Arabidopsis thaliana: one gene and its partner. The protein of the gene in region 2 purifies or fractionates together with the protein of the main gene of each other region. This does not show direct contact. Each region holds a gene or a part of one and is shown on either strand. Other genes may lie near its edges.

Region 1 (6,509 bases), on a different chromosome or scaffold from region 2:
TATAATAATAAGCCGTTCGGTGAGTGCACTCTTTCTCTCTCACTGTTGTTGTTGTGTATCTGTGCGAGATCTCTCCAACGAAAAAATGGCTTGTAGACTCTTTTGGGCTTCTAGGGTTGCTTCTCATCTAAGGATCTCCGTTGCTCAACGAGGGTTTTCTTCCGGTGAATCTCAATCTCCTTTCTCTTTGTTTGATCTCCTCTGTTGATTACTCTGCGTTTTTGATCTGAGATTGTTCTATTTGAACTTATTGGTTTTTGGTTTGTTCTCGACTTCTGATCGGATTAAAGCGTTTGCTTTTTGCTGGATTGATTGTCTCTGGATATCGCTATTAGCTAATATTTCTCCTTTTCGTATCAAATCCCAGAAATTGCATATGATTTCTCGAGTCTCTCTGTTAATAATGATAATCTTCTTACAAGTGTTCAGAAACTTGGAGGTAGTGAGTGATATGTTCATGTTATACGCATTATTCTCTAAAGTTTTATTCTTGAAGTAGTTTTGGGGAAGATTTTGAAAATCTGTTGTTTTGGGCCTGAAACATGTTGTTTACAGAGAAGGAAGATCTTCAAGAAGTTTTAGGAATGTTGATTATTTTGCCATTTAACCTTACTGATTATATTCTCTTTTGTTGTTGTTGTTGGCATGTGTATTATAGTGGTTTTGAAGGATTTGAAATATGCTGATTCACATGAATGGGTGAAGATTGACGGGAATAAAGCAACCTTTGGTATAACGGATCACGCGCAGGACCATTTAGGAGATGTGGTCTATGTGGAGTTACCTGATGTAGGACATTCGGTGTCACAAGGGAAGAGTTTTGGAGCAGTTGAAAGTGTGAAAGCAACTAGCGATATCAATTCTCCAGTCTCGGGTAAGGTGGTTGAAGTCAATGAGGAGCTGACCGAGTCCCCTGGATTGGTGAGTACTCATCTCAGACTCAGAATCATATTACCATTGACTCCATGTGTTGAACCAAAAAGAACTTCATTGGCATGATCAAATCCGAAATCTTAGTTTTGCGGGTGTCATTTTCATGTGATCTAACAAATTCATTCCTCGGGTAACATTCTTTGCATAAATACTTGATTATTCAACAGCTGTTAAAATGTAAGTGTCTTCAAGATTCGTAGGTCTAGATCAAATTATTTACATAAGTGAGTGTTGGAAAGTTTTAGGCTTTTAGCTGATGTGAAACTCTTGATCTTTGAGAACCAATATAGATTTGATTTATCAATAGCTTGCTTAAATATCGTTAACTTGGAGATTCTTGATTTTGTGGTCTCGAGCTGAGAGATTCTTTTGTTGGAATTCACAGGTGAACTCTAGCCCGTATGAACAAGGATGGATCATAAAAGTTGAGCTGAGTGATGCAGGCGAGGCAGAGAAGCTGATGGATTCAGACAAGTACTCTAAGTTCTGCGAAGAAGAAGACGCCAAGCACTGAGCTTTTTCTATTTTTTCCAGCATCCTTCTCCAAGCTTCCACCGCAACACAGATTGTTGTTTTCTCAATCGAGGATCAAAACGAGATTTCTCCATCTTTGTCCCTTGGACTGAAAATTCCCATCTCTCGTTCTCCTTTTTTCTTTTCATGTTTTTCTTTTAATGAAATGAAATTGTTTGAATAATGGTAGAGAATAATGAGCTTTGGCGTTGAAATTGATTGGATCTTTCATGGAGTTATGCCTTTTTCTTCTTAACTGCAAAAAGTTTCGGACAGTACATCTTCGTGGACCGAAAACCATAACCCTTAGCGGGTTGAACTAGTGCTTAGTGCTTAGCAAGCTCCAACTCCTTTGGAGGGACCAAATCAAATGCTACTGGACCACCATCCATCTATTTATAAACAATTGTACACCGGATTGGTAATGTTCATACTATATAAGATAACATGTTGACAAGAAAAATGCTTCTCTTCAGATGGACCTTACCTCCGTAGGTCTAGGCACGGCAGCAACTACACTTGTAGACTCTTGAATTAATTTGGAGTTCAGTAAAATAACTGCCCAGTCCTGAGATGAAGAAATTGGAATCCAAGATAATAGCCGAGTACAAAGAAGAAGCTAATGGAAGATTCATGCGAATAAAGAATATAGGTTCGGTCATATTGTAGCAACCGTGTGAAAACCGTTTTTTTGTTATTTTCTGGTTCATAGGGACCTCAAAAGATAATGTGAAAGGAAACAAAATCTGTGATGCAATGATATGTGCACAGAGGGAAAAGATTTTGGAATCATTGTTGCTTATTGTGAAGGCCAAGCTTGTTTAGCCACAGTTGTCCAACAAAGTTACAAGATGTGCCTTGTAATACAATATTCCTGCGTTGTCAACCCTACTTTATTATATGAAGTTGTTTTTGTGTGTCATGGTTTCCACTAATTTACTTATTAATTTGATTGTTTGATTGTTTTCTATTAGTAAAAAAGTAATATCAACATTATGATTAAATTCTCAAATCAAATAATTATGTTGAAAAGATGAAATGCTTGGATAGCACTGAGCTTTGGACACGCAACAAAAAGTGAGGGAGGGGCAAATTCATCATCAGAAACGTCAGAAACATTATTTATTAGTCGAATCATACTAAAGTTTAACACAGTAATTCTAAAATAATTGACAATTATTACACCTAAAAGCTACTCCATATGTAGAGATAATGATAATTATATACTACAAGTTAGTATTTGTCGACGTCAATATTGTTCTCTTGGTTAATTGTTTTTAAATATTAAAAATTACCGGTTAAGGGACTTGTTCTCATTTTGTCAAAGCTTCGAAAACTTACATTTCAACCACCCAACTAGAACGTTTGTTCTTTTTCTAACAGAAATTTTCCTTTTAAATACTAAAAATAGTACTTACTACATAATATACCAAATACTTTTTTCTATTTTAGCTATCCTCATTATTGAAATAGATGTCGTAGATTTGAATTTACCTTCTGTTAATGTACATATGATAAAAGAACATTGGTTTGTTATGCTAAAATCTCAATAGTTGGAGCTAATCCTATAGTTTTGCTAAAAAAAACTTGTAATCCAAATAACTACAATCAAACCAAAACAACACATGATTTGAAATATCATTTTTTCTAGTGAAAAAATGTTGTCTTGCACTGCTCAAATTCAAGTAGACAATTCCGATTCAATATAACTAAAAATCTCATATTTTATTAAAATTTTATAAACAATTTATTTTTTGAAAGGGATAAACACTTTCAGCTGTTCAATTGTTCATAATTTTCTTCTACTTACATTGTTTCGTTTCCTATGGAAATGTTTAGATTTACAGGTAAAAAGTAAAAAATGTGCTTGAGCAAGAAAAGAGTAAAAAAAAATAAAAAAATCTGCATTTTAGTTGAAAACGAAAGAAATTCTACTGACTAATTTTGTCTTAAATGAGAGAGACCCGAATTTAGCAACTCTTTATTTCTCGGCTCACACACTCCGATTAAGCCCGACGCTCTCTCTCCTCTTTGTCGTCGTCATCATCGTCTCCGGAGTAGGTTGCAGAAATTCAGATCTGAACTCTCAGACGAAGCTCCGATCTTACTGAGACATTTTTGCTCGATTTGACTTTCGCCTTTAAAGCTTCTCAGGTAACTTTCAATCTTCACGAGACTCTTGCTTGACTTGGTTTTAGCTCCTTGTTTGGTTGCTGGGAAATTGACGAGGGGATATCTATTCTCACTCGTCACTCGTTGTTGAGTATTACTGGGTTTTTGGAAGATGAATGCAAGAGTAGAGAGCTAAGTAAATTATGTTGGACGAGATTGTGTAACGTGATTTTGAAATACATTTTCCTTTATTGTAGAGATTATTGTACTGAATTAATGGCGAATTCTCGTCAATATTATCCATCTCAAGATGAATCAATGTCCCCGACTTCTGTGAGATCAAGGGAATGGGAAGGTCCTTCCAGATGGACTGAGTACTTGGGACCTGAAATGGCTGCATCAGTGTCTTCTACTAGGAGCTCTAAGCAAATTGATGGACATGTTGGTGGTTCCACAAAGGCTTTGAACATACAATGGGTAGTTCAAATGATTGAGGTTGCTGACGGTCTCATGGCTAAAATGTATAGACTGAATCAAATCTTGGAGTATCCTGATCCTGTTGGCCATGTATTCTCTGAAGCATTTTGGAAAGCGGGTGTCTTCCCTAACCATCCACGGATATGCACTTTGCTCTCTAAAAAGTTCCCTGAGCATTTCAGCAAATTGCAACTTGAACGTGTAAGTCATGAGTTCTTTTTTTATTAGACTTACTGTTTGATTTGTTGATCTGATGGTAAATGAAAAAAGATTTATTCTGCAATACTTATGCAGATTGATAAGTTTTCACTGGATAGCTTGCATGATGGTGCTGAACTTCACTTACAGAGCTTAGAGCCATGGATACAGGTAATAAGAAACTATCTATGTAATATGTTGTTGGGTTTACGTTCTGTTGTTGTGAAACTTGTTGTTCGAGAATGGTGAAGCATCTCGGAAGTCCTACATGCTATATAGTCAATCTTTCTATTAGTTTTCTTTGTGTACCTAGTCAATCTTCAATCTTCAGTCTGCTATATAGTCAATATTCAATCTTCTATTCCATCTCACCATTAGTCAGCTTTATATATCTGGGCATGCATATATGATTTACCTAATACATGGTTTTAACTTTTAAAATGTAAACGAGTAGTTATTTGCTAGCCTTCTTTCCTTAGTTCGTGTGTAGCATTTCAGTAAGGGGTGCCTTCATAGTCCTCTCGTCATGCATTTTTCTTTTCTTGAATCAGCTGCTGCTCGACTTGATGGCATTTCGAGAACAGGCACTGCGGCTTATATTGGACCTAAGCAGCACTGTAATTACCTTGCTGGTGAGTCAAAGTCTCTCATCTGCGGAAAGTATTTACTTGCTCTGGGTTGAAACTTTGAGCTTTCTTTTGAACTCGTACCTTAGGTGGAGGTCATGAAATGTTTTGGTACATTAAGTTATTATTTACTTGTCAAAAATGTCTGTGAGGATGAAGATAAAATTGTTGAGTATTCATGATTAGCTCATAACTTAGTTCAGCTTTTTGCAGCCTCATCAGAACTCACTTATTCTGCATGCATTCATGGATCTCTTTTGTGCATTTGTCCGAGTCAATCTCTTCGCAGAGAAGGTATGCTGAGCTTGTTCCTTTTCTTAGTTCTTTGTTTATTTGGATTGATTACACATGTCATGTGAGACATTACATTATTATCAATATGTAAGAGTGTTTATTTTATCAAAGTAGATTCCTAGGAAAATGTTGTTGCAAGTCTACAACCTTCTGCATGCGCTATCAAGAAATGATCGAGACTGTGACTTTTATCACCGGTATGGATGTTTTTTTCCTTGTAGTATCATTTTTAATTTGTATATAATCAATAGACTCTGATATCATATATTAACACTCCTCGTCTTGCATCCAGCTTGGTGCAATTCATAGACTCTTATGATCCCCCATTGAAAGGCTTACAAGAAGATTTGAATTTTGTCAGCCCAAGGATTGGAGAGGTTAATATTTTATTCAAATCACGGGTATCCTACGAGCTAATATTGCAACTGATACAGCAGTACTAACAACGTTACTATTTTCCTAGGTCCTGGAGGCTGTAGGACCCAGTATTTTTCTATCTGCAGATACGAGGAAGTTGAGAAATGAGGGATTTTTAAGCCCATATCATCCTAGATTCCCAGATATACTTACAAATTCTGCTCATCCCATGGTACGAACGGCTAGATTATTATCAACATAAAAGCTTAGGATTCTCAGAATTAGTAGGATGCTATTGTCTTTCCCTTACAACTCTACTTCGATGTATAGTGCTAATATTAGATAATACACTCTTGGTTCCTACAGAGAGCGCAAGATCTTGCAAATGTTACTTCGTACCGAGAGTGGGTGCTTCTTGGATATCTCGTTTGCCCCGACGAGCTTCTTCGTGTTACTAGCATTGATATCGCCCTGGTATGAATCTGTTTTTCATTTTGTTCTCGATTGTGATCTTGATAAAGAAGTTTTTCCTCCAAGGATTCTATCTTGAAAACTATCTTATCTGGTCAATAATAGGTTCTATAAATTTGTTTCACAAATCAGAAATTTTCTGCCTCTCTCTGCCTTTGTTTGTAAAATGTTAAGTGCTTTCATTTTCAGTGTTTGTTTAACTTAAGATTAGTAATGGAGTTAGGTTTTTGATGCTCAAAACAAATCAAGATTGCGTGTAATTCGTGCTGTCTCTAATACTGTCCTGTTGTATTTCAGGTCGTGCTAAAGGAAAACTTAGTCGTGACGTTATTCCGGGATGAGGTGAGTTTATATCAAATGGTCTGCGAAAAAGAGTTTGGTATTGGAATTAGTTTTGCATCAGCTGACTCTATTAATCTAACTATGCAGTACATTCTGTTGCACGAAGACTACCAGTTGTATGTTTTACCCCGAGTGTTAGAATCAAAGAAGATGGCTAAGTCTGGACGGACTAAACAAAAGGAAGCT
Region 2 (8,722 bases):
TAAATCTATACGTCAACTTCATGCAATGTTTTTAATATTACAGGTGACATTATCAAATGGACTCGTGGAAAAATTGCGTCCTTTAGCTCTATCAAAGACAGCTAAAAACCACAACGAATGGAAGGGACTCTATGGTAGATTGGACTGGCAAGGAAACTTACCCATTTCCATCACCGATCCTCAGCCCATGGGTAAGGTGGGAATGTGCTTCCATCCTGAACAGGACAGAATAATCACTGTCCGTGAATGCGCCCGATCTCAGGTAAAAAAAGTTCTTATGTTCCTTCTTCGTCAGCCCTCTAGCATTACTAATAGAGTACATATTTCTTTTTGTTTTGGACATTAAGTAATGTTAGGTTATGGATACAACAGTTTTAAGTGAAAGTGTTGTTTTATGAAAATGTAGGGGTTTCCGGATAGCTACGAGTTTTCAGGGACGACAAAACACAAACATAGGCAAATTGGAAATGCAGTCCCTCCACCATTGGCCTTCGCTCTCGGTCGGAAGCTCAAAGAAGCCCTATATCTCAAGAGTTCTCTTCAACACCAATCATAATTGGAAATGCAGTCCCTCCATCATTTCATTTTTTTTAGTATAATCTTTTTCTTAAAACTCAAAGTCTATGAAGCAAGAAATGATGTCTATGAAGTATGAGAAATTTTACTAGAAAATAAAGTTGTGTAGAAATTGGTATAAAGATGTAAAGTCTAACTGGTTATAAAACCTCTTTCAGATCTATTTGGACGTCGTAAATCAACACGACAACATGTATTATCAACAATTGGCAAGTCCCTCGTTGTTCTTGGTTTTAGGAAGCCCAGACAGAACTTACTGGAATTTGTACTTGGGCGATTATGTGAACTGAAGAGTCATTTAAAACTGAAACACATCTAAAAAGACTAATCTTATACAAAGACTCTTCTTAACTCGACTTGCTTTCGTTTAGCTTTGGAATTTTCTTGTACTCGTACGTGTTTATGTCCACCTTCTCTTGCATAGCCTGCGTTAAACAAAACCCAGTCAAGATTTTAGTGTTTCATCAAAGCTTTTATGCAGTCTAATTGAGCGTATATCCTTTGTTACCTTGAGCTCATCTTCAATGGATGTGTTTTTAGGTTTATAGGCATCGACAGGTCCTGTTCTCGAAAGTGCCTTTCTTGTTTCTATAATCTCCCATTCTTGGTCATCTTTTACCTTTGCAATATCCTTACTGAACTAACCAAATAAACCATATGTGGTGAATTCTAAACAGAATCATTGACATTTCCCCAGACATTTATAGATTCAGAGGTTTTCCAATCAAGAAAGAACTGACCTGCCTTGAAGGAGTTGGCCGAGTCCGAGGGCTCCAAATACAGTGAGAGATATCATCGGAAGTCCATATCTTACAAACGGGTGTCTCCTTCCCCACCTTTTAAACGATGCTGATGACTGCTTAAGAGTACCAGTAGGGGTAGTACCAGAACCGGAAGGAGAAGACTTTTGAGTTTTCTGACCGGTTTCGATTGTTGTCATCTTTGTATTAACTCTCAAAGCATACAACTGCAAGGAAAAAGCAAGAGTGAGAACCTACTACATTGTTATCATTTTTCTTAATCCTGAAAACAAACACAAGAGTAGCTACTACAATAAGCATTGAGGAATCCATTTTCTACTCTCTAATAACATTTTCTTCTGAAATTAGTCACAAAACATAGTGTGCAAATATGGTAATCTGTGAATTTCAGATCGACTCAATCAATTTGATAATAGAGCAGAGTTAAAGATCAATACTAGCTCTGTTTCACGTGACTGGATTTGTTTCGTCGTATCTTCTACAAACAACAGATTCGTATGACCTAAATAACGTTTCCTAAACCGTAGAAATTCTCAATCTAAACCCAGAAATCAGTTCCATTCTAGGCACAACACACCGATTCGTTGTTTGACATAAATAAAAACTAACCTGGAGCTGCGTGATGGCCGGAATCTGAAGTAGCTCACTAGGTCGACGCAGGACGAGATTAGATAGAGACGGCGATGGAGACGCCGAGAAGCGAGAAGAGTGATGACGAACGTTGAGCTTCTCGGTGTATACGGCGTCGTTCGTTCTTTTAGGAAATAATCAAACAAATTAATAAATTCCCCTATTATTAGTTTCAATAATGGGCCCAGCCCAGTAACTCATATTTTGGGTTACGGTGTAAAAGAAACGACGACGTTTTTTCCTTTGTTGTGGATCTTTGTTCTGTCAGAGATGAACAATTTGTTGGTCTTTGGTGGTAAGAATAAGATAAAACAACTTTTTGGTTTCTGGGATTGTACGTTCGAACATCTACGATCAACAGACCACATTTGATAAGTATCGCATTACATACACTACAATTACCAAGCCGATGGCTCGGTACTTTGGTTGTGTTAGAATAACAGAGAAAGTAGCAAAATGAAGAGTAGATGGATTTTAACCAAATAACGAGTGATTGATACAATGAAGGGTTACATTATACTACTTCAAGAGCTGCTTTACATGAACTGTTTCAAGAACTCCGTAGCAACGAGTCTTCCTCTTGTATTCACTGACTCCTTCAAGTCCCTTATTTCTTTCTCTATATCCTGCAATTTCCATGGTTAAAAAATAGTCACACTTCAAGTTTCAAATCTATTTTAAGCGGAGATTAGCATGTTGGAGGACATAATCAGAGTAACTAATCTCTGTTGACTCTTGTAGAAACAATTCAAATTCAAAGACGGATATAATGACCTTTGTTAAGGCAACTATTCAGAATACTACTTCTCAAGTTATTTCCGTGAGAAACACAACGACGTAAGGATGCATCACTAACATTAGGTTTGATGCAACCAAGACATATATTGATTGTTAGGATGCTACTAATGGGAGCAACCAAGGTCATAGAATAAAAAGATTAGGTTTCGAGAGAGACTTGCCTCCATAAACTGAATAATGAAATCAATTAGCTTCTGTTTCTGCATCTCTTCGCAGTGGTAGTTTGTTATAAGAAAGCTTATGTCATAGCCCTGTTCAAAACACCAACAAAGAAACCAATTGAAGGGAATAAGGGAATGGATCGTTCACACAATGCAGGGGAATAAACAGTAAACCATCTAAAGCCAAGGCAATGCATTTCCGCACAGTGAGATGATTCATGATTCATGATTCATAGAAGGGAAAAAGAAAGGAAAGGTGTGGTACATACAGACTATCTATCATCCTAAACCTAAAAAATGCCTGCACAGAAAGCTAAAATTAAGGAGAATTTGTGAATACTGTCTGCGTTATGTTTAATCAATTCGTGATGCATTTACCATTAAAAAAAAATAGAAGTTCGACAAAAGAGGGAATGCATTGCAACTTCTAGATAAAACCTAGTAGCACTCACAAGTACCTAAGTGTTGAATCAATAAGAAGGTCTACCTGCACTGGCTTCCTCCTCAGTACTTGAAAAGCTTCTGCCCTCATGGACAAGAATCTGAGAAATTTTTTGGTTAGTATGTTTTCAAGTTCATCCGCTTGCTTGACCTGCAAATTAAAGATAACAAATATTTGTAACAGCAGAACAAGACAGATGTCTAGACTAAGTCACGACTCGTCAAGACGTTATCTCAGGAGAAAGAAACAAAGGAAACGGTGAGAAACAGGAAAGTAAAACAACACAAAGCCTTTGTTGAACAGTGTACCACTGGGGCTCTTCCTGGAAGTATTTGAAGGAAAAGCTAGGGTAAGATGAACATTTACCTTGAGGCTTATCCGGAGTGAATTTATAGATGTTTCTATTAAACACTTTTCAGCCTCATTTCGGCATATTAAAACCTGCAAGTTGCAAAACTTAGCAGTCAACTACAAAACCTAGGTAAGAAGACAATGCAATATCAACGCTAAACTGGGAGGGAAACAAGTAAACTTCTTACAGGATTTAGCAAAAGTTCTGGGCTCGTCCTACAAAATTTAGCAAACACATGGTGATAATAAGATTCTATGCTTGAAATAAAAATGGAAGAAGAGCACCCCATTCTCACATGCATCTTCTTGTGAGAAGCTTACATACTTTAATTCAACCTCTGGTTTATTATGCCTTTCAACTTCTTGACAAGGAAAATTCTGCAAGTAGAGAAGTATAGAAGCTTTCAGGAATATAAACCATGTAAAGCTGAATGTTTTCAAAGACTCCACATGGCCCCTTTCACCTACTTTAACGAAATCGGTAGGTTCTGACACCAAATATTGCGAGAAAAACGTCAAAAAGTAAGTGAATGATGGTACAACATGTCTAATCAAAAAGTAAACAACTAATACAAGAGAATAACAGACCAAAGGTGGATGAATGAGATAGAACGCCAACATGAAGCTTTAACTGCCTTAAACAAACTTAACCATAAAGATGGAAACTTTGAGACCTATGCCATGATATCATGAACCAAAAATAATTTGTACCTGTAAGCACATGGCAGCCTCGAGTGTATTTTTTATGCATGCTAGATACAGCCGTAATGAGTTTGCCTGGAACATCAAAGACCCATCGGAAGCAAATTTTAAACAATTTCTGCAGTAAATCAGTATGCGATAGACATTGTTTAAAAGAATTGTTTCTAAACAGGACATGTTTGAATGAAAAAGAGTCTTTGTCAAGTATGAGAAGAATCAAAATTAGAATTACAGTCAAGGTTCTTACCATGTCCTAGAAATGATGTTATTCTACTCGAGACTTGCACCAGACTTAGGATTTTATCTTTCTTCTCGATGAATCTTTATGAGCTGAAAAAATAATCCAAACATAAACAAGAAAGCATCTTTAGTTTCATAGAATTTAGGTTACCAACTTTTTTATACTAAACGTCAATAAGAAAGCAACTTTAGGATCAAAATGTCTACAAGAAAACAAAACACTCTCAAATGTTTAAGATAAGAAGAGAACAAAATAACAATCAAGTAACAGCAAGATCCCGGAGACTAGAGTTTCTATGTAATCAACTCGAAGCAACAACAAGATCATGATTATTGAGAGACCCACTTAGAGAAATAAGCCAATCTACTGAAAGTCTGAAACTTTTGGAAAATGTGAGAAAGGGAAATCAAATTAGATCCCTAGGAATCAATCAGACAAATCAAAAGCCCTAAAACCTTGGTCGTGAACAAATTGCATACCTTGGACGACTTGGAGACTCGTGAGAGGAGAGATCGTAAGGAGATTTAGAGATCAACGATCGGAAAATTGAATCACGATCAAATTGACCGGATAAGTGAAACGAAATGCGTCAAAACCGAACCAAACCAGACACTCCGACCGGATCTGGTACATTCTAAAATGGAATGTTCATTGACCCACAAATACCAGCAAGATTCTGCGGATTGAACCGGTGAACCGGGTTGCTCTACTTCTAAGTTCTAATCTACAACTACAAGCGGTACTTGCGCTTTAACACATCTGTTTATGTTACTGTATTCATTTATAGCAAAGACTGGCTCTGCTTCTTGTAGAATGTTCTGTATCCGATGAGTAGTATATATCATATTTGCATGCGTAGATGTTGCAGCTGGGAGAGTTAACGCAGTCGATTTCTTGCTCAGAGGCAAGACTTCCTTCAGAGTACTTTTCTCTTGGCAAGAGCATTCCAAGATTATAAGAGACTCAAACTCAATTCCAATTGAACTCGTTGAGTCCTTAACTACATTCAAGTGATGAATTTGTTCAAGATGAGGTACTTAATGTTGAAGATACTTTGGGTTGCTATGTAAATTTTTCCACTGTTTTGGTTCCTCTGAAAGTTTACTTAGCTGTGCGTTGTGTTATTTTAGGTGCCGCCCTTCTGGGAAAACGATCTTCAGAGTATTATTCAGATGGGTTTCGAGAGATAGTCAGCAACAGAGCAACAACTGTATGCAAAACGAAACAAAAAGCAACAACATATGTCTTGTTTTAAGATGTCTAATATCTACTATATGAGTATGACATTCCCATTTGGTTGTATATTGCATAGGTTCGGAACTTGTGAAAATTGAGCCAAACAAATGGTGAACGAAGAACGGTACGGAGTTATTAATAGTCTCTGGAAGTAATGTTTTACTTCACATCGTTTCTTCTTGTATCTTTTGTTTTATTCATAAGAAAAAGTCTGCGTCTGTGAAAAGAATGGTAGATGAAGAACTTGTGGACAGATTTGTATTAGTAGAGAAGAGGTAGATTCAAAAAAAATTATATATGGATCTTATAGAAGTCTTTGTGTGATGTTTTTGGTATATTCAGGTCTCACTTGTTGGTCTAGTGTGTGACAAAGATGTTTCAAAAGTCACAAAAGTTAGATTTACTCTTTGATGATGGAACAGGACGAATTGATTGTAAAAAATGGTAATTAACACACATAGACTATACCCTTTTGAGATATGGAAGAGTTGTTTTTAGGTACAATGGTAATTTGCTATTTAGTGTAATCACCCACTTAGTGACACATCCTTCATGATAGCAATGCTTACAATAAGGCATCTGGCAACAATTCTCAGATCTCGACATATTCTCCAAACAGATTGCACAAGTCTCCGATTCTTCTTCTTCTTGGTCCAAATCTGTCGCCGACGGAGAAGAAATACAAGGCACAACACTGTATAACTTGTGTGTCAATCTGACAGAGACTATCATGAATAAAGGTTGTTGACGTTGTTGTGGCAAGTAAAAACTTTGACTTCTTTGCAGTTGGGCTTCGACAATCTTAGAACATATTTGTCCGGACAGGTCACGATCGTGGAGTTGGCGTTGAAGACGTTGATAGACGTAGTTCCGTTAGTGTAATTTGCTATTTAGTGTAATACCCAAAAATATGAATATTGTTACTAGAATATAGAGAGTGCGAGATAAAGGAAGGAGCACGCTCATGAAAATGAAAAGTAGAATTGTTTGGGAATTAGGATTGCAGTCTAAGCTAAGAGATCTGCATGAAGGTTGGTTTAATCTTCTACGAATCCAGGAGGTTTGCGTCATTTGTACATAATGAGTTGCAAGTTATGAGTGAAATTGGACTTATATCACAGAATCAGACACCCATTTTATACACATTAAACACACAAAATAGATATTAGAATTATATGTTGCACCTATCATAACCCGAAAACCAAGAAGGCTCAGCAAGATTTGAAAACTCAGTTTCTTTTTTGTAAAGCGGCTCAAACTCATCTCTCCATTGCTGCTCACTACTTGCATTTACTGATGGTTCCACGGCTTGATCACATTTGGTAGAGCATTCATTGTGAATATGAGATTGTGGGACGAGTTGGTTAAGTGTGTTGATTTCGTTTTCATGTTTCTTCTTCAGCTTGTCAATCTGTCTATATGCTTCTGCAGCTTCATACTCTGCATCCATCGCACGTTTCTGTTGACACAAGCCACATAGATTTTATGTAAGAACATGCATGCATAATAATAAAAGCAACAGACTTATTCAAGGATGTGACCTGACATGTTTAGAAAATGTAATAACGTACCTGTGCAACTGTTAATCCCTCTTCGGCTTCTTTAAGCCGAACAAGTAACTCTCCAGCTGCTTGTATGGCTTCAGCTGTATCTCTTAGTTGTGTTTGGAGACTTTTGTTCTCATCCCTCAGGTATTGTCTCTCCTTCTCTTTTTCTACCTTTAAGGCTGAAATTTCTGCTGCAAGTGCATTTATGAATCTGGACTCTGCTCCTCTGACTCCAGCTCTTGCAGCTGCCTTTTTGACATCATCTATTCCGTCTTGAATCCTTCTATGTCTTGCAAGCAATTGCATATGCTTCTCTTCCAGGTCTGCATATTGTTCAAGCATCCGTGCATGCCCTTCCATGGCCATCTGCATTGCTTCTTTCAACTCCTCCCCGCATCTTTTCTCAATTTCAAGTTCATGTTTCTGCTTATTAATCAGCGCCTTACTGGCTTCAAGCTCAGTTCTTAATTCCTCGGAGAGAGAAATCCATTTGGTCTCTGCCTCTGTCCAACAAAGTCTTTCCTGTTCTAATGTCTTCTCAAGACTCTCGTCCTGTGACTCAGGAATAGCGTTAACTGGGGGAGCTTGGTATGAAAGCTTAAGCAGGGTACACGTTTTCAGAGCTGATTTAAGAGAAGGGTCAATGTAACATTGCAGCTGCAACTTCAAATCCTGAATCTCTTCCAATAACACTTCCCGTTCTCCCATGTCACCATAAAAGTTCTTGAAATTCTCGACCTCTTCTTGCGTTCTTTCCAACTCAATCTTCGTCTTAAGCACTTCAGGGTGATTCTGATACATGTCCTTTAGAAGCTGCAACATTACATGTCAGTAAAAGGGTAATGCAATCAAATACCCTTTTACAAAACGAGAAGCCACAATTACCTTATGTTCATGGAGAAGAGAAGCAAATTCTTCATCAAGGAAATCCTCCTTAGATAATACGCCATCCATAAGGCTTTCAAGGCGAATAATTTTGTCCTCCCTTGTTTGTCCTATGATGGCATTGCACTCTCTCTCATGTTTGTATTGTTGTACCTATTACACGGTTTGGACCAATTTATGTTTGAGGATACAGTTACTAAGGGAGATTAAAAACAGAAAAAGACGCAAGTATCATACCAGTCGGTTAAGTTGGGTTATCTCAGAGGCTTGTTTAGTGCAGAACTCTTCCAGAGCCATTTCCCTCCTGATAGAACCTGCTAGAACCTTTTCTACTGCCTGTAAAGTGTAAAACTCGATCAGTTGGAGGAACCAATTATAGAAATGTGGAAACA

What was found. The genes of interacting proteins can lie anywhere in the genome.
Region 1: the proteins of ARPC4 (region 2) and GRL fractionate together in Arabidopsis thaliana (co-fractionation; one study listed by BioGRID). This does not show direct contact.

The regions. Positions count from the first base shown.
Region 1 is NC_003071.7:14,800,851-14,807,359, reverse strand, and holds the start of GRL (transcription activator), read left to right. Parts: upstream 1-3,509; 5' UTR 3,510-3,600; intron 3,601-3,815; 5' UTR 3,816-3,834; coding exon 3,835-4,236; intron 4,237-4,329; coding exon 4,330-4,404; intron 4,405-4,784; coding exon 4,785-4,865; intron 4,866-5,072; coding exon 5,073-5,153; intron 5,154-5,267; coding exon 5,268-5,350; intron 5,351-5,445; coding exon 5,446-5,530; intron 5,531-5,616; coding exon 5,617-5,742; intron 5,743-5,876; coding exon 5,877-5,984; intron 5,985-6,278; coding exon 6,279-6,509. Other genes in the region: AT2G35120 (Single hybrid motif superfamily protein), read left to right, coding at 86-164, 659-921, 1,319-1,447. UniProt on the Arabidopsis thaliana protein: Involved in regulation of actin and microtubule organization. Part of a WAVE complex that activates the Arp2/3 complex.
Region 2 is NC_003075.7:8,151,576-8,160,297, forward strand, and holds ARPC4 (binding protein), read right to left. Parts: upstream 5,216-8,722; 5' UTR 5,142-5,215; intron 4,793-5,141; exon of another isoform or gene 4,752-4,792; 5' UTR 4,672-4,751; coding exon 4,669-4,671; intron 4,497-4,668; coding exon 4,431-4,496; intron 4,098-4,430; coding exon 4,045-4,097; intron 3,936-4,044; coding exon 3,908-3,935; intron 3,810-3,907; coding exon 3,735-3,809; intron 3,519-3,734; coding exon 3,414-3,518; intron 3,017-3,413; coding exon 2,923-3,016; intron 2,594-2,922; coding exon 2,487-2,593; 3' UTR 2,232-2,486; downstream 1-2,231. Other genes in the region: DMT2 (DNA methyltransferase 2), read left to right, coding at 44-262, 407-556; AT4G14145 (cytochrome C oxidase assembly protein), read right to left, coding at 924-1,001, 1,085-1,211, 1,317-1,516; PAKRP1 (phragmoplast-associated kinesin-related protein 1), read right to left, coding at 7,070-7,357, 7,470-8,258, 8,331-8,483, 8,568-8,666.